3 linked regions of the Styela clava genome follow. The protein of the gene in region 3 purifies or fractionates together with the protein of the main gene of each other region. This does not show direct contact. Links are inferred from orthologs where the notes say so. Each region holds a gene or a part of one and is shown on either strand. Other genes may lie near its edges.

Region 1 (7,528 bases), on a different chromosome or scaffold from region 3:
TTTGTGGCAATAAATCTCTCTCTCTCTCTCTCTCTCTATACATTAGGCACAGCAGCAGCTCGCAAACTTCTTGTTCGTGCGGCGCCAAATTATCAGCGAAAAAACTTACTACGCACTCACACGAAAATAAAAAGCTGCTTTCAAATAAAACTCAAATTTGGAGTGGGAGTGGTGACTCTTCTACGGCCCATGGGCCGGGGCCACGGTCCATCGAAATGGGCCTCGGCCCATCAGGCTATTGGCCGCGGCCCATCAAGTTGTGTAATGGGATGAAATAATAAAGACTAATAAATATGTAAATCCTACCTAAATCCTACCCACTTCCCGAACTTATAATAGAATTATAATGTGAAAAGTTTGAACAAAATTTTGTCCTAAGTTCCTAACCCTAACCTGGTACACATACTTCAGGTGTATCCTTTTCTGTAGCTTAGTATTTTGCTTTATTTTTGGACACGTAGTGGACATAGCGATCGTTTCAATATTGTGTTGTTGTTGTTCTCATTGTTGTTCTTAGTGTCCTTGTTCTTTGACACGTTTTGAAAAAATCGCTTTTCTCTTCGAATACTGGACCAATTGCTTTGAAATTTTTAGTGGTTGAAGATAAAATTTTTCTCCAGAAGGCCGACTTCTTTTTTTTTCGTTATGACCTCATCAAAATTATTCCCACTGGGTGGCGCTATGTGTCCATATAGAGCATAGCTCTCTTGTTATGTAAAGGCTTATCGTAAGAAAAAGGTTTGGTGGCATCCCGCGATTTTTTTTTTGGTTCGAATATTGACAATTTTGTAAGAATTGAAAATTTTGGTAAGACAATTGAATTTTTTCTGATGAGCCGCGGCCCATAGCTTGATGGGCCACGGCCCATGTGGCCCAATTAGATAGGCCGTGGCCCCGGCCCATGGACCTCAGAGGAGTCACCACCCCTGTAGCAAATTTGTGATCGTCAATGTGTAAAGTACTTTTGTGTAAAGTTTGTAAATATGTGGGCCTAACAAAGAATAAGGGCAAAAGGTCAACTCTCTTTCTCATGTCTGCCCGATTTTCATTTGAAATACTAAAAATATCACTCATGTCAAAAAAAATTCGAATACAAAATATAAAATATCTATAATAAATACAATATGTAATATCGTCAGTCCTATATTGTTTTTTCTTCAGGTGAAATTTGCAAATCGGCGCCCACTGAAGTTCAGTATCAAAAACACTCTATTGCAGTTTTAAGTAGAATAATCACCACTAAAATAATTTTAGAACAAAAAAAAAACCTCAGTTTTAACCCTTAACCCAGCGGTTTTCAAAGAGTGCGCCGCGACGATTTGCTAAGTGCGCCCGAAAATTAACAAAATTGTGTTAAACCGTAAATATAAACCGTAAATATATAAACCGGTTGAAGCGTAAATTAATACTACTACGGTTAAACATACCAAAGCAATTTTTATTTCTGTTACATTTTTTTCTTATTGATGACTGTTCGTATTTTGGTTGACAAAATAATGAATATCTCTCTCTCTCTTCTATACGGAATCAGGTTCTGTGGATTTGACCCCCGAAAAGTGATTTCGGGGCTATTTCAAGAGTGCTTTTGCGAGTTGGCGCCTGCAAAATGGGGTATGTGTTTCAAACCATCATTATGATTCATCGCATACAACAATCTGTTTTTTAAAAGTAGCGATTAAGAATTTTAACCTAGTTTATCACAGCTATTTATACACTAATTTTTTATTACTGCAATTAATTTAAAACTTCTAGGAAGATAGGGTAATCATTGAATTATCTGATTTATATTTTAAGTTTTCGAAACACACTGAAAACTAATGAATAGCGTTCAAAAACGCGAAAACGAGGTAATGTTTACGACCACGCTTGAAAATCTGTCTGAGTGAGAAAAGTGTCTGAGCGGATGCGAAAAGGGAGAATTGTTACGTCACTTTTTGCATCTTGCTGATTTGCCAATGTCACGAAGTAAACAAGGAGGTCGATGCTCGGGGAAAGATATAAAGTGCACATTAACGATCACAACTATTAGTTTTATTTAAACGCAGCAATTTTTTTTCATGTACCGTGTTTCCCCAAAAATAAGACTAGGTCTTTTTCAACTTTCTTCCAAAAATAACACTCAGGCTTATTTTCGAGGAGTGTCTTTTATTTTCATTTATCAAAAACAAAATTACAAAATAAAGAATTACGAGATTTTCAAATATACATAATATGGAAACCGATATCCATTCACTTATAAATAAAAATCAAAATAATAATCAAAAAATTATTTAAAAATATTAATTCGCGTTATTGACTTTCCAGGGTAGGTAAGACTTTCTTATTTTCAGGGTAGGTCTTATTTTCGGAGAAACACGGTAGGTGCGCCGAGAATTTTTTTCTGATAATTTGGCGCCGCACGAACAAAAAGTTTGCGAACCGCTGCTTTAGTCCTTTCGCCGCCATTGCATGGCGAATTAGCCCACTTAGGATAGGATTTACATATTTATCCCGGGGGAGAGGAAAGCCGATAAGACGGCTTATCCATATGGCGAACCACGGCCTCTCGTCCGGTTACCATTCCAAGTCGGGTATGGGATTAGTTTTACTGTATTGTTTGTTTTCGGAAGCATGGACTTGGTGGTGGAGGAAGCCGTAACCGACCAGCGGTTACGTGAACCACCCAACGACGGCGAGGAGTCCAGCAATCCTCTCGCACATAACCATCCCTGCATGGGATTCGAACCTGCGAACCCACGCAGAGTAATTAGAGGTGCGGTGGCGAGCGTATTCCTAACGCTTAGCCCGTTGAGCCACACCGCCGCGCCACCGCCGGCGCACTTCAACCACCTCATCTTGCGTCAAAAGAAATTTCATCCACTTTTACTTTTTAGTGACTTCAATCGGTCGGAAGAAATTTCACTTCTTTCTTTTAGGCCACAGTCTTTTGGGGACCTAGTCTTAAACCACTCCATCTTTGTCGGGAGAAATGTTATCAACTTCTTCAGTCCTTCAGTGTTTTGTAACTTTTCATCTTTGGGAACACTCTTTCCTCAGACCTTTTAGGTACAGTACAGTAATGGCGCACCAATCGCGGATGTCGAACACCAGAACAATCAACGATGAGGATAAGATTTACATATTTATCTCGGGACAGAGGAAAGCCGATTTGACGGCTCAACCATATGGCGATCCACGTCCTCTCGTCCGGTTACCATTCCATGTCAGGTATGGGACAAGTCAGGTATTTGTTTTTCCGAAGCATGGACTCGATGGTGGAGAAAGCCGTACCGGTAACCGACCGACGCTTAGCACGACAAGTGCAGTTTCAAGTATTTTGTGGCGTCTACAGCTGCCGCAAAACCATGGCGGGATTTCCAAACCACGGCCACTAAGACCAAACCCACGGCGACTGACTTTTTAGCTGCCACAAACCAATAGCGAGCTGCCGTGGTTACGGCAGCAAATCGAATACCACCAATTTTACTGCCGTAACCACGGCAGGTCGGCTGTAATAGCAGGGCTGCCCCTAATCTGCTGATGGAGATAAATATTTAGTGAGTTGGAATGTTTTTCTTATGGATACAGTTTGGATGGATTTGGGGTTAGGGTTAGGGTTTAAGTAGATATAATTTCGCATGATAAACTTAAATATGGTACATGAATTTGTAAATGTACCGGTAATAGCGCCATAAAACCATGGCAGGAGACGGCGTGGTACGTTCGTGGCAGGAGCTGCCATGAAGTGGTAAGAACTGCGCCTCTAGCACGATGAGCCACACATCGCTCACATCTCACTGTATCGCACCTGATCGCGTAAGCTGAGTTTTGAGTACTGTATTCGTGCCGTATGTATACTAGTAAGTAGTATGCCGGTATGCGTACAATTTTCGAATGTAAATTGATAGGAATCCTATATTTTTTTAAATCAAGGCAAGGAAATGAATTATTGTTATATGAGCACATGGCTGATCTGATACACGGTTAATCATAATGTAATTTCGCATGCAACGACAAAATAACAGGTATGATTAATATACTGCAATACTGTGACAGTGTGAGGGCTTTTGAAAATTATGAAAAAAAAAGTGTCAAGTAGGCTATTCTGAAAAGATCTTCATTGAATAAATTCACAGGATACGGTATATTGGCAAAAAACTTGGCGTTTTACTGTAAAAACAGGCAATTTTGCTTAAAATCATTCATAGTCTAGTAGTCTATGTATTTCTGTATTTGAAAAAAAATGATTTGGATATGATACCGGTATAATTTTAACATTGTTGTATAGCAGGGGTGAGCAAAGTTTTTTGCCCTGGGTAATAAAATCTGCACCTAGCTGCCTAGACCGGCAGCCATGTCTGCATGTACTGATGTAAGTGTGACGTACCGGTAAAAGTTACATTTTATGAACAATATTTACAGTGTTACAAAAGCGAAAGTGGAAAACAATAAGCCTCGTGTCATACTAAATTCAATTGCAATTTCAACAAATTCTTTGAGCTGACACATGAAAATTTGGTTTTAGTTTGGCTGTGGCAGCACCAGGCGGGCAAGATTGAGTTATCCAACATGCCAGATTTGGCCTGCTGGCCGTAGTTAGCCTATGTCAGTTGTATAGCCTGCTTATATTTATAAATTACATCTGGCCAATCTGTCAGTCAATCACTTCTACCTTTTTGTGGTATTCCTGTTACATCCTGCCTTTTCTTATTAAGTAGCAATACTTATACTGCAGGAAAAGAGCGTAAATGACCAATGCAACTGTATGAACTTAGAATCAGTATTATCATTGAATATTATGTGACCATAACTCATTTATAAATACATACATGCAGTCACATATATTTGATTTTCAGCATTATACTGATTATAAGTAATGGAAAATACTACTACTAGTGCTAGAGATGCTGAAAAGCAGTTTTCTGAATTAGTTGAAGCATGGAAGTCAAATCACGAATCAAGCGATTATGATCCAGTGCCATTTTTGACTGACTGCGCAAAACTTTTCGAAGAAGAGACAATAGAATTTCATAAGGGTGATCCTGACCCTTTTGATGAGCGTCATCCTGAATATGCACAACCTGGATGTGTTTTTGGAAAGTTACTTGTTTCTCTCTCAAAGTCGCATGATTTCATGGATAAACTTACATCATCTTACTTTCGTGTGACAACAAATCCAAAGAATCCATCTCAAATTACGTTAGCCTCTGCACGATTTCTCTTAGCCGCTTTACCTGGATTAGAGCCTCATACGTTATTCAAAGAAAAAGAATGGTTAATCAAACTCCTTTCTGAATGGGTAACAGACGCTGATGAGCCACTAAGGACATATGCAACAGGTTTGCTTGTTGGTGCCATAGAACCCCAGAAAACTTCTAATGATGAATATATAAGAATGATATCAATTTTGCTCAAAAGATTATGGAACCATGTTAGACCTGGTAAATTTCCAGAGTCAGAATGTGATGGATCTACTTTTAAAGTTGATTCTTCTATCGGAGTTAAGACTTCTTCACAATCTCGCTCACAAAAACGCAAGTTATCAAACAGCTCAGATGCCCCAAAACTAAAAAGAATATTCAGTGAAAAACCGCATACGAGCACACATTCCCCAGCACCGAATGGCGAAATGCATTTTACGAGCGATTACTACGACAATGACCTGAGTAACAGTAGCTGGTCTGAGCAAATGCCTGCGATGATAGGATGCAGTTACAGCCTTGAACCTCCTCTACATTCAGAAGTCTGCCAAAGATTTATTCTTGATTTTCTAAAATGTTTGGGAGAGTATCAGGATTTGTTATCAATTTTCCTTGAACTCAAAGCACTAGAATTAATTAATATTTACATAAAAGAAAAGAAATTTGATGGACTACTAATATTCAAAGCATTAGAGTTTTTGGCATCTCTTCTGTGTCACAATAAAGTAGCCACGGAATTCATTGAATTAAATGGAATACAGAATCTTTTATCCGTTCAAAGACCATCAATGGGTTCAACAGGTGTTTCCCTATGTATTTATTACTTAGCATACAAAAAAGATGCAATGGAAAGAGCTTGTCAGCTGCCTGCTCGTATTTTGAGTGATTTAGTGAAATATGCTCTTTGGTTGCTGGAATGCTCTCACGAAACTGGTCGATCTCATGCGGCATTGTTCTTCTCATTTTCTTTCTCATTCCGAGTGATTTTACAGCTTTTTGATAAGATGAGTGGATTACGTTGCCTTATGAATATGATAAGTATGTCAAAAATTATTATTAATGTACTAGATGATAACTATGATCCTGATGAAGACGCCAATAGACTTTTCATGCGCCAAACAACAAGAACAGTTTGTGCAGCACTTAAAAAATACTTTGAAGCTCATTTGCAGATTAAAGTTTGCTCGGCTCAAAAATCGATTCCAAAATCCAAAGAAAGACACACCATTGTGGAATCTGTATCAAAATATAAACCAATGGTTTCCAGTCGCGAACAATTCTTTGAAAATCTTGAAGTTCTCGGTGAAATCTCAGTTACTGATGCCAGCTTTCGATCTATGAGTAACTGGCTACCTGTTCTCAATTTTTATCGATTAGATGGAATTGCATTGATGGTGAAAGTGATTGATATTGCATGTGATTGGGTGACTTACACAGGCCAAATAGAAGTTATACGTTCAGCTTTGGATGTACTTGCCGTGGTAACTCTCTTGCCATCACCGCAATTGACTTTGTGTAAACATCACACTCTCAATAAAAAATTTACCGGTATTAGTATAATGTTGGATATAGCAAAAGGGGGAACTCTGTTCGCAGTTGAAGGTGAAACACAAAAGTCAGCTCTTGCTGTAATTGTGAATTGTGTGAGGGATTATGCAACTGATCATCGTAAATCAACACCTGGGCCACAAGATACACCACGTTCCAAATCTTCACAATCTAAAACAGAAAAGAGGGAAATGGTGTGGAAATATGTTCAATATAATAATGGTATTTCTGTTCTTCTCTCATTACTAGTCATAAATCAACCTGCTTTGCATGCAGATGAAGTGAGATATTTTGCATGCAAAGCGCTATTGGGATTATCAAATTATAAACCAATTGCTCAAATTATGTCAAAATTGCCATTTTTTATTGGTGGACAAGTACAATCTGTTGCTAGAGAACCAGTTCTTCACTACAAAAAACGATTGCATACAAAATTTTGCAAATGTATGGGAGCCCTTTTAGAAAAAGTTTCTGGTAGGCCAATGAATTTGGAGTTGGATTTAGATGCAATTCGTATATCACACATTGTTTCTGAAACGCACATGCAATATGAAAATAAAGAAGTTCTTCAAATGATTCATAATCATCTAGTTTGGTCAAAGCTGCATAATGCAGCAGAAATTCTTGCTAGAGATGCTTGTTTATTCGCAGACAATCAAAAAAGCATCCTTTCGACGCCAAAATCCAGACCAAGAGCAGCTTCCTCAGGAATATCTGAGCACCGAAATAATGGCAGTGGTGATGCCAGTTCTAGTGTGAACAGGCGAATTAGTTTCACAAGAGGTTCTCATGCATTAGGA
Region 2 (8,375 bases), on a different chromosome or scaffold from region 3:
AAGTACGCAAATCATAACCGGAAAAACTTTGAGTATAGATCGCCAAGCTATCTTCGAAAACACATATGAGGGACAAAATAAGGTGGCGGTGTTGTGGTTGGGACACAAGACAAATTGTTCACAAACCATGCAAACACATTTCGATGTCGGTCAAACCACACTCATGTATGTGAATATCTTAATTATTAACATCACACTAACCATCACAAATTTGCATGCTCTAACTAAGTAGTCTTCAACCGGGTATACGGTATACCCAGTGGTGGGATTCAGCCGGTCCGCATCGGTTCTATAGAACCGTCCCACGAAATTTTATGAGATTAGCGAACCGGTTAGCATTACGGGAAAAACATAACTTTTTGTAACAGAACCGGCTGAAAAATATGTGATGGAACCGGCTGACAAAAAATTTGAATCCCACCACTGGGTATACCCAAGTGTATACCGGACAATAAGTTTGGTATACAGCTGATAAAGGGTATACGAAGGGTGTACAGCCTAAGTCATGGATTCCAAACTTTAATATAATAAATTAGAAAATATTCAAGCGGAGACAACAATACAAACGCAGCCCACATGAAATACAGAATACCATTTCAGCAAAGAACCGACGTGAGCACATTGTTACATCACATTATAGATAGGGTTGGTGATTCCAACTGCCTTGCACTTCGTTTGATATACGTTGCACATCATTCCCGTTGACGCTAAGGCCGTCAGTCAAATTCATAACTTACGGACACTGGCCTATTAGATTGCATGACTATATTGCAGTACAATATGTGCTTAAAATTGAATGTTTATTCAAGCCTCAAATAAACATTGGTATTTGTAAGGTATACAAAGTTCTTGAAAAATGTAAAAGGTATACCACGATTAATAAGGTTGGAGAACACTGCTCTAACTACACAGCATAACTTCGACCAAGGATAAAATCTTTGTATATACGCAGGACACAGCATATAGTAGCCTACTACAGCAAGTTAAAATGTAGGGGAGAATCCAAATATAACTCGACTGGTGACCTAATTACAATAATTGGTACAGGAGCTAAATTATACCGTCTACAACCCTCACAAAGAATCACACCACCCAAATAGAAAACAAAGATCATACATGTAGACAGTGGTGGGATTCTGCCGATTCGCACCGGTTCTATAGAACCGTCTCAGGGAATTTTGTTAGATCAGCGAACCGGTTAGCATTTCTGGTTACTGTCAATGTTCTGTTTGTAACTGAACCGGCTGAAAAATATGGCTTTTGTGAAGGAACCGGCTGAAAAAAAATTCGAATCCCATCACTGAAACCCAACATTGAAAAAAAGGAAACATGCGCATGCAGATGTCAGAATGTGAACAGCCATATGAAGAAAAATCTTATGCTATACATGCTATAGAACAAACTAAATGACGAACTAGAATGCAAACAGATGAAGAGAATTTAACTGCTTGTTCAAAAATAAATTAGCAATCTCAGGTACAATAACAATATTATGACTGTTCAACATTCTCATGAAAATAATAAGTATGTGCAAGTGAGTACTGTCCCAACTTATGTCATGGTATTTCTTTGGAGGTTGTAGCTAATTACATACGAGAAATATATATCAGTGTGGTTTTGAAATATTACCTTTTGATATTTGAATACCAAGTAGAACTCGACAATTTCTTCTGAAAGGATTTTTTGGATTTCAATGTTTTCAAATTCAAGGGAAGAGAATTCCACAGCTTGGGCCCAGTATAACACAGATGTACTCATAAAAGGTATGAACAAATTGGAACTACTTCTTCGATTGGAAGTAATTTTAGTTAGTATGTCGTCGAAGCAGTTGGGCAAGGAATTGTTATGAAAATCATAGACTAATGATAATACTTCAAATTTCATTATATCTTCAGCTTTATAGAAATGGTTTACACTTTCACGTTTACTTTTCCTAATATTAATTCTTAAAGAACTATTACAAATACCTAGCAATTTTAAGACAAGTGTTTTATTACCATGGAGCCAGCAATATCGGATGTGACTGAGTAGTAGTGACTGAAACATTGCTAATAAAGCTGATTGAATAACACACTGGGATACTTTGGCAGCAACTGCCAAGTCTCTTTTTGTTTTACCAATAACATGCAATATTTGTGATTTCCAAGACAGATTTTCATCAAAGATAACTCCTAGAAATTTTATTTCTTTCAGTCTTTCAATTTCATTGCCATTGAGCAGCAGTGGTTTTGTACAACTCACACACTATGCTTGCTTGGATGGAATAATACAAATTTAGTCTTGTTAGCATTAAAAGATAATATATTAACTAACTATGTGCTATGCCATGCGTAGCATACGCGGAAGCCCTGGGTGGAAGTAATGTGGTGTCTTACATCTCGTATACGGGAGCCCTACATGTATGAATGTCTACCCGGAAACATGTTTAAGAAGCTTATTATCGATACGACTCGGATATGGCGTGTCAATGTAGCACTGATCCGAGACAGATCGTACTCTGTTTCGTAGTTAAAAAAAAATTTGGAGACGTCCGAAGTTTACAATAATATAGAAGTTAAATTTGTGGATTCATCACGTTCACATTGGCGCATTCGTCACATTCACATTGGCCGGGAAATAAACTACTGATTACCAGCGACATGTCGCGGAAAGATAAAATATATTCTCGAAAACATGACCATCCTCTGTTCAATCCTGTTTGCACCAAAGTGTCTATAACTGGTTTGCACGGGGGTTAAATCGTCGCAAAAGTGATCGCACCGCTCCCAATGGATATGTATCGTCTGTGTTTCTATAAACATGGGATAGTGCGTTCTAATGGAATGACAATGGAACAATTCAATCGCTTCGCGAGCAGCTTCTACCTACACTCTAAAGCAGGGGTACGCAAATAGTGCCTTACGACCATTGACCCACATTTGGGTCACGAGACCTTTCACTCTGGGTCGCAACACGTTAATCTTGCCATAAATATTAGGCATCGCGTCTGTGTACTGTGTTTTTTGAACTACAGGTACAACTTTATAAACCTCTAATTATAATTATCATGTATAGTTGTTTGCATACTCATTAGCCTACTACTGTACCGCCTACCGGTACGTAGTCAATTGCATTGTTTCGTAGCAATGCCAGGTTAGGAGCAGCTGTGTGGAACTGCTTGATAATTAGAGTTTTGTTTTCTATCAACTCTGAGGAGCAGTCAGTTTTAAAACGGGGCTTGTTTCAAATCAAATTTTTTTCGTTATTTTTCATTGAAATACCTCTTGCCCCATGTTTTATACAATTTCAGAATTTGTGCAAGAAAATTGCTACTTTCAATAATAATATTAACATTGATATTCAGTTACAAAGTATTTAAAAAAAATTATATGCTCAACAAGGCTGACGGACAACTCGACTACACGGACAACTCACCAGAGACAACTCGACTACCTAGACCTAAAACACCACCGTAGAAAATGCCAAAAGACGGCCAACTCACAAGGCCTCTAGTTAGTCGAGTTGTCCGTGTAGTCGAGTTGTCCGCCTCTCCTCAACAAATGCTTGGTTCGCGAGAAATTAAAATATTATTTTTAGGGTCGCGCCAAAATTTAATTGCGGACCTCTGCTCTACAGGACTGCAATGCAGTGTCTGTACTTTATTCTAATTTTACGTAACACGAGCAAACATTACACACAGCTGTAGGGAGTCTGGAGAACAACTGAAATACGGTACTGGTACCTACTGTATCTATCATTTGTAGCCGAAATTACTGGATTGACGAATCTTGCGTCCCATTATTTATCCCTGTAAGTAGGACAGGATTTACATATTTATCTCGGAGGAGAGGAAATCCGATAAGACTTCTTAAGCATATGGCGAACCACGGCCTCTCGTCCGGTTACCAGTTCATGTCCAGATGTCTGCATGTCAGTGGTTAAGGGGATCACTTACCACCACCCTACTACCTGACGGGTCTAGTATAGTTTAGTACCACAGGTACTTCCAGTGGGCGTAGCATAACGAATTTTGCATATGTTATTCCTAACCCCCACCTGCAGACCTGACTATGCCATCCAAAAATTACGTCACTATGAGTCTATGACGTCGCCATCACGTCATAGCCTATGACTCATAGGTCTTGCCAATGACATCTGCGCCGCCAATAACGAACTCGCTAAAGCCAGAGAGATCGCTTGCTCGATTTCGGGTGCTCGTCTGCGCATTTTGGATGACCATTCTCATACTTTGGTGGGCATTATTACACCACTGTGACGTCGAAATGACGTAATTTTTGGGTGACGTAGTCAGGTGAGGGTTAGGATTGACATATGCAAAAATTGTTGAGCCAGGCCAACTAGAAGTGCATGTGGTACTAAACTATACCGGTACCAGACCCTACCTGCAGACCTGACTACAGTGAGGAGGAGTCCAGCAATTCTCTCGCACATAATTATCTCCCATGGGTTTCAAATCCAAGCAGGGTAATCAGAGGTGTGGTGGCGAGCGTATTCCTATAGCGCCACACTGTAAGTACTTCTTTTAGTTCTGTAATCTTAAATAAATTGTTGAGATTCATTGTCATACAGATCAAAAAGTTCTTTATATAATCATGTTGGCATATCTTCCTCATTTTTCAGTTCTTGCATGTATTTTCCACATTTAAGTGTTTCCTTATTGCAGACTCTATCATCGAGTAGATAAGTTTGGGAAAATTCTTTAAATATATAAAGTTTTGAAACTATCAAAAATGTAATGCTAATACTCGTATTTTGTATAGGCTATTGACCAAGTGTTTAGCTCAAATTTCACTTGGATACCAGACTTCAGGATTAATGCTTTTTTGTATGTCCCTGCGGCTTTCAGTGGTGTTGCAAGTGTATCAAAACTTGATATAAAAGACAAAGCTTAGATACATTACATACTGCATTAAAATTACTCCATTCTGCCATTAGTAACTTTCATAGTATTGTGGTTTTACTGCATATAATACAGTAATATCAGAATATAGGCATTTCCAGTCACTTGATTTCTAGTTTGTATCATATTATTATGGTTTATTTCTCATACAGTATCATAGGTTATGAATATTATGATTAATTAATTGTAATGCTACCAAGTACCAAGTGACATTTTTTGGTTATGTTGAATGACATAGCGACTTTTAATGTGATATTTTGAAAAAGTCAGAAAACCAAAATTGGTAACTCACGAAGTTCAAACCGTAACATGGAAGAGGAGGAAGAGATTGAGGAGGAAGTCCAGTACGAAAGTTTATATGATGATAATGATGAACCTGACCTTTCTGTAGTCCTTGCGTTACTATTACGCAGTGGCCAAGTTCGTCTCAGTCAAGGTGTTATAAATCGATTTGGTGAAGGCTCTGATGAAGATGACGAAGACGCCAGTGAAAATCAAGCAGGTTTAGAAGAGCCTGACACTATTAAAGAAAGCGATTTAACACAAGATGTCCTTCTTCATACTGGAAGACTAGCAAACACTAAAGCAAATTCCAAAGAAAGTATTGTAAAATCAGTTTGGAAACGAGAACTTAGTTGTTGTGGGGCCAAGAGAAAAAATGTTTTCACTGCTGGTTGCCAAACTGCTATTTGTTCACATCAAATTCCCAATACAGTTGTTAACTCGGTATCTCTAAGAGAAAAGGTTTTTTGTGGTATCTATTCTGAAGATGGAAACACTTTCCTATCAGCTTGTCAAGATAGTCATTTAAGAGTGTATGATGCAAATAGATTTGATGATGTATCGCAAACTTGTAAGCCATTTAAGAATATACCTGCACTTGATATAGGGTGGAGCATTCTTGATGTAGCTTTCAGTCCTGATGCACTTTACCTTGCTTATACTACATGGTCCAGTGTTCTGCATATTGCATCAATATATGATAACGAAGATGTAAATTTATCCTCCCACCACGCAATGGACCTAAGACCAGAGAATTATAACTTTGCTGCATTTTCATTGCAGTTTTCTGCCGACAATAATGAAGTACTATGTGGTGGAAATGATGGCCATTTGTATATATATGATCGTAATAGAAATTCTAGAACTTCTCGAATATATGCTCATGAAGATGATATTAATGCAATCCGTTTTGCGGATAAAGGATCCCAGATATTGTATTCTGGGGGAGATGATGGACTTGTTAATGTTTGGGATAGGAGGATGTTGCATGAGAATAGTCCACAAAAAGTTGGCTCATTTGCTGGCCATGTGGATGGGATTACCTTCATTGATTCAAAAGACGATTCAAGATATCTGCTTTCAAACAGTAAAGATCAGACTATAAAAGTTTGGGACGTTAGGAAGTTTTCATCAGCAGGTGCCCAGGAAGCAGTCAAAGTGGCGGTTGCGCGACAAGCCTGGGATTATCGCTGGCAACAGGTTCCACGGCGGCAGCGTAACAGAAAAAAGACTGTAGCTGGGGATACTTCAATAAAAACATATCATGGACATGAAGTCACAAATACTCTTATTAGAGCTAGGTTTTCTCCTATGCATACAACAGGTCAAAGGTATATTTACACTGGGTGTTCAAAAGGAAATGTCGTCATTTATGACATTTTAACAGGAGAGATTGTATCAAAAATAAAGAGACATAAGCACTGTGTGAGAGATGTGTCATGGCATCCTTATGAACCAAAATTGGTATCAACTTCATGGGATGGGACTTTTAGTGTATGGAGTCATGAAACAGAAGCGGGTGATGTTGAAATGGACATATCAAAACCAAGCAGAAAACGTCGCTTGGGTGGCAAAGATTGTGATGAAGAAGATGGTCATTCCTATGGATTGAGAAGAAGTCCACGCTTGGCAAGAGCTAACTATACAAGTACTTGAGCAGCTTATTTAGAGAAATAGTTATGCAACTAACTATGTTCCAGTCTCCTGTGGTACGAACTGTTGAGATTTTGTGAAAAAGAAACGAAAGCTCAATTCAACTGATTTTATTAAAAAGAAAATTTTTCACTTTCACAGGTAATTCCAATTCATTTAGGGATATTCTTAACCAAATCGAGATCTGCTTACTGGGAATGGTAAAGTGGTATATATTATTCGAACCAAATTTGAAATTCCCAGATATTATTCTCTCATTTCTCTGTTATATCTTGCATGTAGTAAAATTACCATTTGAATATGCCCATGGTAGATAACTACGGGTAAGTTTTAATGTGTGTCTATTTTGCAGACAAAATTTGGTTACTTCAAAAATAGAATAGTTCTGGATTTCACAACTAATTAGGAGAGCAAAATGTTTGGAATGTTCTGTTTCTTGATATTATTCTTCATATTATCAAAATCATTCTTCAGAATATGCACCATAAGTCATTCTCTTTATAGAATCTCTAATCCTATCAACAATTAGGGTAATACAGAATGTGCCATTTCAGTCGGAACCTCTTAATTTGGGACCTTTCTCTTAAAATTTCATTCTTACATTTTTAATAATTATCATTTATACATAATTGCACTTATATTCAAATGTTGTAGTACTTTTTGGTGATTCACTTTCGCAAAGCAATAACTGGAGAGGACCAACTCCAAACCAGTGTTGTTCTATAATATTTTGAGTGGACTGAAGATACCATATGGCCTTGAAAGCCAATGCTATTTAGTCTTTACCAGGGGTGTGTAACCTTTAATACAGGAGGGGGCCAGATACAAACTGGCCGCGCACCTTTATTTAACATAGACTTTCTAGTAGTCGTAGGCACGAAAGAGCACTGTAACATGCGTCATAGACATGTCTAATAAATAGGACTCTGGTACAGACTTTGCAAAGAAAAAAGATTGCAATTACTCGAGAGTACCAGATTAATCGTTTCCCTGGGGCCGCAGGTTGCACACCCCTGCTCTGTACTATTAGTTGAAGTCCTGAGGTTACCATTTATTTTTAGTTCAAGTGAGCTATTGAACTCAATATAAGCTCATGTATCATATGCATGATCAGCATTCATATTACTGCCTTGGTAAAGAAATTTATTGGCCCGGTGTTTTCTTTCTGTGGAGGAGCAAAGACTGTAAATAAAAGTCTTATCATAAAACTTCTATAAAAAGGTGTAGTTGCCGGTTATTTGATAGCCTCTAGATCAGTGGTTCTTAAACTGGGTTCGATCGAACCCCTGGGGTTCGGTGGAGCTGTTCCAGGGGTTCGACGAAGGTGCTCTGAAACAGTCGCGTATTATGGGACTTTTTTATCACCATGCATACTAATTATGCAAAAATAACTATAGTTCATGATGACTAATTACTAATCTCTTGAACAATTGAATGGAACAATTAATTGGTGTTACCCTTATTCATATTCTACCGTACTAATAAATTTTAACTCAATTTTACGCAGTAATTGTACATGAATGAATGCAAAATCATAGCG
Region 3 (8,250 bases):
ACAGACCTGTTCAAAGAAGTACAAAGCTCTTTTGTAATTTTTCAATGCAGTATAAATCATTCCACCATAATAATAATATGATAAATAGTGTTTGCATTCATAGAACCCATTCTGAAAAAATAATATGTTGACTTAAGATGTTAAACTCGAATACAAAAAATTTCAAAATTTTGGAAGTTCATTTCCTAAGTAAATTTGCTCAAGAAACATAGTAAGGAGACTTATCTCTGAGCAAAATAGTGGGTACCTCTGAAATGCCAAGCCCAAGAGCTACTGAAACTACGTAATATAGAATTATGATAGTGCATTATGTGTCAGCAAATGCAATTGAGACAAGACTGGAAGTAGTTCAATCGACTGGGAGCAAGTCAATTTGATCAGGATAACAGCTATGACATAGTGAATTACATATAACTGAAATTCTTGGGAAAAAACTCCCAAGGTACTATGACAGAAAGTGGCTGAAAATGAAATGTAAAAAGAACTAAATGTTATCAACAAACACCCAATAGAATCGAAAGCACTGGTTGGAATAGTTTATTTAGAATTAAGATATATTCAACAAAAATTCAAACTTTTCATTTTCCTCCGGCAAATATCCCCCCCTCAGTAAATGGAGACTCCTTACCTCTTTTGAAATATCTGTAACTTCAATGTCAAGATACTTTGCCGCAGGTTTCAGGCATTTTGCAGTTAAACACAACTGACATAGATCAGCATGCACAGATGTCAATTGAGATGGATGTTCTTGAACCTGTTAAATATGTATTTACTTAGCAAATACAATATTATAGTATATGTATGTTTTATCGGTACTCCCATAGTGTGTGTACCAGATTAGGGTTAGGTCATGATTTTATTTCGATTTCCCTTATTTTAGTTCTATTATGAGTTCGGAGACTGTCTGTGTTAGTCAAGTGAATATACCCCCTGCCCATAGGTTTCAGTCCCTTTACATAACTTGATGTGAAGTAGGCGAACAAAATTAGTTACTTCCATATTGGTACACATTACACACATTTTTGTAGCGTCGTTTTATCTACTGTTGAAGTCATGGTACTTTGACAGGACACAAGCAAAGATTTTTTAAAACACTAAATGTAGACAAAATGGGGAAATTGGCAAGTAAAGTAGTAAAGGTTCCAAAATAGAAAAATCTGAGGAAAATCATGCCATGGAGTAGAAAGAAAACACAAATATAGTATTCTGGATATTCAACACAGATTCCATATAAAATTTATATGTAATTATCAAATAATATATTCATTTTTTGGCACATCAAACCATGTTTAAATCAACACTATAATTAATAGTGATAAATTACTATAACAGAATAACAGTATACATAAATATTAAAGAACTACAGGAATTAAAAAAAATCTGAACTAATTAGGCATCAGCATACCTGCTCTATAATTCTGGATATAAGTTTGATTCCACGAATTGCCATATTTCTTTGACATAACTCATTAGTAAGAGTGTGACACATCTGGGCAACTGAAAAAAAAAAATTGATTCTACTAGATACATGTAGATATGCGTAGATAAGTTGAAATGATATGTCTCAGCAATATTGTACATACAGTTTCCAATCGAATATCTTGTTTGGTCTTTATTACACTGACTCACAAACAAATCAACTTGTAGAAGCAATTGTTCAAATTCTTCTTGATTACTGGATGATTGAAATGTAGATACTTTAACACATCTGAAATGAAACATATATTTAGTGATTGTAAATAGCTCACAAACATATTGACGACTAACCAACGTTTTATTCTATTTAGACAAGCATAAATACAATAGGTTAAAGAATTGATTGAGTCTATGCATCTGAAACAAATAACTGGTTAACTAATACCATACCCAACATAGACTTGTAACAGGATGAGAGACTGTGGTTCATGGTATGGATAAGCCATTTCATTGCCTCCAACCCAGGATAAATATGTGAATCCTGTGGATACTAGTTTAAATTATTCAAAAACTTCCATTAGTTTCTTTATGCAGTTATGAGGATTTGTAATATTTAAACTTGGGTAAAATGATGTGCCACATCAAATATTAGTGTTAGGTGTTGCAAATTATTGGTATATTTAACAAATATTTCTAAAATGTTAAAATTTTCTAAAATGTTTAAGGTAAATTTTATAAATAGTTTATAATCTTTTTTGAATTAATCGAGTATGGAGCAGAATGCAACATCTGGATAAATGCTAAATTTTTCGATACCAAATAGAACTTACAAGATGTACAATACTCCTAATGTATGTTCTTGTATATCTAAGGCTTCCAACATAGTATCAAGATGTGAAATGTTTTTAACAAGGAGGTTCCATGATTTGTTCATATGATCGCATAGTTGACTCAACTGGCCTGAACAAGAAACAATTTGAAGCAAAGAAAAATATAAGACTTATTTGATATTCTGCATACTAAATGCTGAAACGAAGAGCAACAAGATGTGGTGTTGATTTAGTAGCGTATTGCGTATTTCTATATTTGAAACTTTAGAATTTGACCTGTTATTTATGCAAAATAAAAAAAAGATGTTTCTGTCTCAAACTTTTTCGATATTCAAGATAGAAAGAGTCTAATTCAGAAATTCCCCTAATCACCAAATACTGAAATAGGCTAGCAGAATAATGAAAAAGACTAGTTTCGTGGACCCAGATATCATACAGCCATAAGTCAGTAAGTTTAGGAATTACTGAAAAACCCATTTTAAGTAGCCTAGTTTATACAATACTAATCAGTACAATACCTGAATAACGTGGGTCTGGTATAGTTTAGTACCACATCCACTTCTACTTGGCCTGGCTAAACAATTTTTGCATATGTCAATCCTAACCCCCACCTGACTACGTCACCGAAAAACTACGTCATTCCGACGTCACAGTGGCGTAATAAGGCCCACCGAAGTATGCGGATGGTCGTCCAAAACGCGCAGACGATAACCCGAAATCGAGCAAGCTATTTCTCTCGTTTTCTCGTCGCAACGATCACGATAGGAGAGAGATTGCCTACTTTAGCAAGTTCTTATCGGCGGCGCAGATGCCATTTCGGGCGATCATAATTATACTTTGGCAATCCCTATGACGTGATGGTGACGTCGTAGTGACGTAAATTTTGGATGGCATAGTCAGGTGAGGGTTAGAAATAACATATGCAAAAATCGTTATGCTACGCCCACTGGAAGTACATGTGGTACTAAACTATACTAGACCCAATAACGTACCTTGCGATGACAAGTTCCGCACGGTGTTGACAAATTCTTCCAAATTTCCTGACATCCTTCTAAAATCCAGTCCTCAGTTACAGAGTTAGCTCTGCAGTTTATGGGGAAAAAGAAGACTATCGTATCCTTATGTCTGTATGTCAATGTCAGTATGTCCAGTTTTTTTTGTTCCGGAATCGGTGGTCCTGGGATCCCGTATATTTCGAATTTAGAAGTAAGAGTGCAGCGTAACGAGTCCCGGCTGCGCTGTGGTTATAAACTAGATTACTAGAATATGCAAGACCTTTGACCTCAGCAATGCAAAGAATCTGGTAGATCAGGGTCTGATCAAGGTGAGAGAGAGAGAGTTTATTTCATTTTGTCAAACCAAGAAAACAATTCATGCACACATAAAACAAATATCAAAAAAATAGTTTTTGGTATATGACTGGGGGGCAACGATACGACCTTTTGGGGTCATCAGAGTCAGTTGCCACCCAATTATATTAAACAAGCATGAAAATACCAGGTTCGTGTCAATATATCAATGCCTCTCACGATTTAAACTATGTACAATATTTACATGAATTTACTATTTTCAATTATGGAAGCATTCTTTTAGATAATGGGATTTTGCACAAATTGAAATTATATTGCAAAATATAAAATGATCGAAACGAAAAAAGTGGGAAAGCAGGTCAGACAAGCTACCCATTATTCGGGTGGTCCATATTTGTCGGCGACGGGGGCCACAAAATTGTTTTTGCATTGTTCGCGGGCCACAATAGTGCCACAAATAGGTAAACAATGCAATATGAAACACTTTTATCGTGCAAACCCATTGGTCATATGTCATTTATCAGGCTAACCCATGCAAAATCCACCCAAAAAATTACTAAAACCTGCAATAGTCTTTCTATATCAACATAAAATGTAGAATTTCAACTCTTCGTAACGGAAAGAGTGCTTCCGCAAATGTAAGTGCTTTCGATACTTTTGTCACCGACACAACTTGTCGACATATCAAGCAAGCATTGTGGTATTTACCTCTACATCCAGTCAAAAATCTGTTCAAATTCGTCAGGTTTATTTTCAAACTTATGTTTACAAAATACCTGCACATTGATTGATTACCAAATGTAAGGTACAGAAGGGTAATTACTAAATTTTCCAATATTTAGGCAGCATTTTTTGTAATACTGTTTAGGTTGGTTGCGGAAAACACCCGGCATGAATTAAATTGTTAGGCCATAACATCAATATTTAGTTATCAGGCATAGCCTGAGAATTAGTCATTAGGCTAATCAAATAGAATCCGCATTCAATTTTCAGTTTTCAATGATGCCAGAATTGTTAGCATATTTTTCCGGACAAAACGAAAAAAAGCCAGATAACAATTTAGTCTGCCAAACACGCCATTCAATTTCGGTAGTTGCCTCAGCCAGCCGCAACACTTGTCTATTCAGTGACATTAGTTATGTAACAAATGTCAATGGATTTTTCTGGTTAATTTTATGACGAAGCGACACGAAATGCGATTTTTTGATTAGTCTCCGAAAGCTACGCGGGCCACAGATAATGAAGCGGCGGGCCACATGTGGCCCGTGGGCATGGGTTTGGACCACCCTGTGGTACATAGCAGATGCACATTTTGGTGGTGATTCTACAGCACAACCGTGTTTGTGATATCGCTAATGCAGGTTGGTTTTAAAATCAAAATTGTGACGTTTACTATTTAATTGCCGCTGATAGATAGATACCGTAAGACGTGTTTAAAGGAGGAGGTTAAATACAACATTCTGAAATAGACAGTTCGTCTGCATCACAACTTTGTTTACTACAGTCGATACAATTTGAAGCAATGTCTCGAAAATTTCCGGACAATTTTATTTCGAGAGTGTCTATCATGAAAGGAAGTCCAGATATCCCTCTCTAGCAATCACGCTTGCAAGGCGACTAAGAAAACTTTTCGATAGACACCTGTGTGGTGTTTCTCGGGTATTTGGACGGCGGGGAATAATGGGAAGTGTCAAGTCAATAGTTGCTCAGATTTGTGAGAGATATCACCCAACACGGACACATAATACACCAAAAATTCTAGGTCTAGGTCAAAAATTCTAACCAAACTAAAATGTCACATGGGTGGTGTATAAATTTTGCGCTCAAACTGAACAAACAGATAAATAAGTACATAATTGAAATCAAATTGATACAGCTGCGCAGCCAACGAGGCTTGATACCTTACATTTTACAACGACGTGATATTTAGTATAATTTACGGGTATACAAAACAAAAAAACAGCAAAACGAACAGCGCACATTTCTCCAACATTAGGAAACCAGTTTTTCTTGTTTCAATAATTAATATATGCACATATTGTTTGAATCTGCCGATCCCCAATTCAATTCGATTGCAAAAATCTATAATATATGAAAATTCGTCGCCACAGCTATTGTGTGCTTATTTGTACTCTGATGGAGTCAGCGGGGTTTATTCCGCCATGTACGTTCTAATAGTACTGAAATAGAATACGCAGATAGTATCTCATGTTTAATATAGCGTTTACAATCATAACCATCATTTATGAGTGCCGATGAGATTTTAACTTTTTGTTAATGAATACAAACGCCAGTGAGAAAGTAGTTTTTTCATGAGTTATGTTTATATGAAGAATTATTTTGTCGCCAAGAACTTTAATGAAATGTTAAATATTATTAACCAATTTATTGAATAGGAGTTTGAGTCGATTCTTTCCGATTACTGAGTCCCATGGTATTGCTTCTTGGCAGATCAATTTGCTAACCCCACAGTAAACATATCAAGACAAAAACTAGAATATCGGTTAGAAACCGAAGACTTATCGATCGAGGTTAGGGGATCCCCCAAAACAGTGGTATTACCTCATAGTGACACCGTGTGTCCCATCACTAATTAATTAATTACTCGCTAATTATAAGACATACTCCATAAAATTAATAGGCTTCTGATCCGAGCTATGATGAATGCACATGCAAAATTTGGAGCAGATTCAACCTCGCTTTCGTGAGATATCGTGCGCATCTAACACACAGACATACAGACATACAACTACCTATCAACCTACGTACCGATCTTAAAATCGATAAGTAATAACAAAAACACACGCCAGCACGACTAAAGATTTTATTTTAGACGTCCTTAGATCGTGCACCCTTAGCCAGGTCAATCACGCCTTTACACACATTTTTTTCTGCTGCAACTATATTGAAGCTCCTCAAATATGAGGTGACGCACAACCTGAACAACCCTAACCTGGTACACATACCATGTTCAGGCTGTGTGCCATGTTGGTACGAATACTTCGGGAGCACCCAATTAAAAAACACAACTAAAAACTGACAAATTACTAGCGAAACCACAAAAACGAGGTAATGTCCACAGCTATTATTAAAATTATATATGAATGAAAAAGGAGTCTGCTCGGCTGCTAAAATTCCAATTGTTTCGTCACCGTTGATAGCTTGCTGATTGGTCATTGTTGCGTGGGTACGGGGTAAGGTAAGAAAAGAATGCGTATGCTCGGAGAAACATCAATCGAAATGAAATCTATCAAAATTTCGTGTCCCCTCAAGATGGGGTTACCATATATTGTTACTTTAAAGCGGGATGCCTCCAAAGACACGACCCCCTAGCTGTGATCCCGTGACTTTACAATTTCCGATTTTACTACATAGAACTACATTTAAAGCCATCCCTGCTGTCTTTATTGACCATATTGTCATCGAAAGTTCATGCGCATATTCTCTGTCTAAATATCGGGTTCAGTTCGAAAAATAAAAAGGAATATGAATATATATACGCTAACGATACAAATGATCCGAATTTAGATCTTTTTATGTACAGCAAAAGGAATAAAGAATATGAAATAGTTTGCCGTTTTCAAGCATAGAGAATTTACTTATTCACCCATGCAAGCTTTTCTGTAGATAACACCTTCAAAAAGACGTTGTTCAATGTTACATTCACGTGAACATCCGAACAGGACCAATTAGAATTGATTTTGCATGTGATACGTTTGCTAACAATGTTAGCGAGAAACAAACAAATTAACGCATTCACCCTCAGTAAGTAGGCTAGAGTTGCGCTACACAGCAACAACAGTAACGAGAACATGTTCACGTGGATGGCTGCTCGCCAAAGCGGTACTTTTGGCTGACTTGTCGGGACGGCGGGACAATATGCTAAAAAGCGGGACAGTCCCGCCTAAAGCGGGACGTATGGTATGCCTACCTCAAGATCAACGCAGATCAATCATGCGGACTCGGAGGTTGTCACGGACGCAGGACCGGATTTAGGAGATTTAAGACCCTGAGCTGAGCCATTTATAGGCCTTTTAATAATAACGCCATAAAATATAATGGCGTCATATAGAAGGCTTTGAATTGCGCGAAAACACTTATCTACTTCGAATTTTGTATGCATTTCAGCATTATAGGATGTTTGATGATAATTGAATCTGAATAAGCTAAAATGTATATAAAAGTGTACAACTCAAAAAAGAACTAAAACGGAACTGAAATTCCATCGGGTAAAACATACATTGTTCCGTGTATGATTCGGAAAATATTTTGCGAACTAAAAGTAATGTTAGAAAACTTATCAAAGAAATACATCTACGGAATCAACTTGGATTTTTTTAGTGATTTTTGCAAATTTACACTTTAGTTCCAATGTTCAAAACTTCATGCTGCCTTTCATGCATGCTTTTTTTTTATCTGGTTTGTACATTTGATAAATTATTGGTGATTTTTTTATGTCTTAGGAAGCAAAATATTTCCTACAGCTATTTACTTATTTAGAAATATACAATCAGGAATTCCAGACCCAGAGTGTGCTGAATTCAAATATTTAAAATCAACTTCGTATATATATATATATATACATATATATATATGATATGTGGGGTAAATTCTGGTGATTACCATAATTGGACGGAAGAAGTCGTCAGAAGTCTATTAAATTTAATTTATCTACCTAAATTTTGTTATATTTT

What was found.
Region 1: the proteins of COP9 signalosome complex subunit 3-like (region 3) and DDB1- and CUL4-associated factor 1-like purify together in Homo sapiens (affinity purification with mass spectrometry; 5 studies listed by BioGRID, with this or other methods). This does not show direct contact. The link is inferred for Styela clava from reciprocal best matches to the Homo sapiens genes COPS3 and DCAF1.
Region 2: the proteins of COP9 signalosome complex subunit 3-like (region 3) and DDB1- and CUL4-associated factor 11-like purify together in Homo sapiens (affinity purification with mass spectrometry; 3 studies listed by BioGRID and IntAct, counting the BioPlex papers as one, with this or other methods). This does not show direct contact. The link is inferred for Styela clava from reciprocal best matches to the Homo sapiens genes COPS3 and DCAF11.

Annotation. Positions count from the first base shown.
Region 1 is NC_135250.1:9,080,837-9,088,364, forward strand, and holds the start of DDB1- and CUL4-associated factor 1-like, read left to right. Parts: upstream 1-3,981; 5' UTR 3,982-4,004; intron 4,005-4,835; 5' UTR 4,836-4,855; coding exon 4,856-7,528. UniProt on the Homo sapiens protein: Acts both as a substrate recognition component of E3 ubiquitin-protein ligase complexes and as an atypical serine/threonine-protein kinase, playing key roles in various processes such as cell cycle, telomerase regulation and histone modification.
Region 2 is NC_135258.1:14,058,660-14,067,034, forward strand, and holds DDB1- and CUL4-associated factor 11-like, read left to right. Parts: upstream 1-5,056; 5' UTR 5,057-5,209; coding exon 5,210-6,838; 3' UTR 6,839-7,599; downstream 7,600-8,375. UniProt on the Homo sapiens protein: May function as a substrate receptor for CUL4-DDB1 E3 ubiquitin-protein ligase complex.
Region 3 is NC_135259.1:8,855,788-8,864,037, reverse strand, and holds the start of COP9 signalosome complex subunit 3-like, read right to left. Parts: upstream 3,515-8,250; 5' UTR 3,294-3,514; coding exon 3,239-3,293; intron 2,377-3,238; coding exon 2,247-2,376; intron 1,709-2,246; coding exon 1,584-1,708; intron 1,498-1,583; coding exon 1,406-1,497; intron 755-1,405; coding exon 629-754; intron 112-628; coding exon 7-111; intron 1-6. UniProt on the Homo sapiens protein: Component of the COP9 signalosome complex (CSN), a complex involved in various cellular and developmental processes.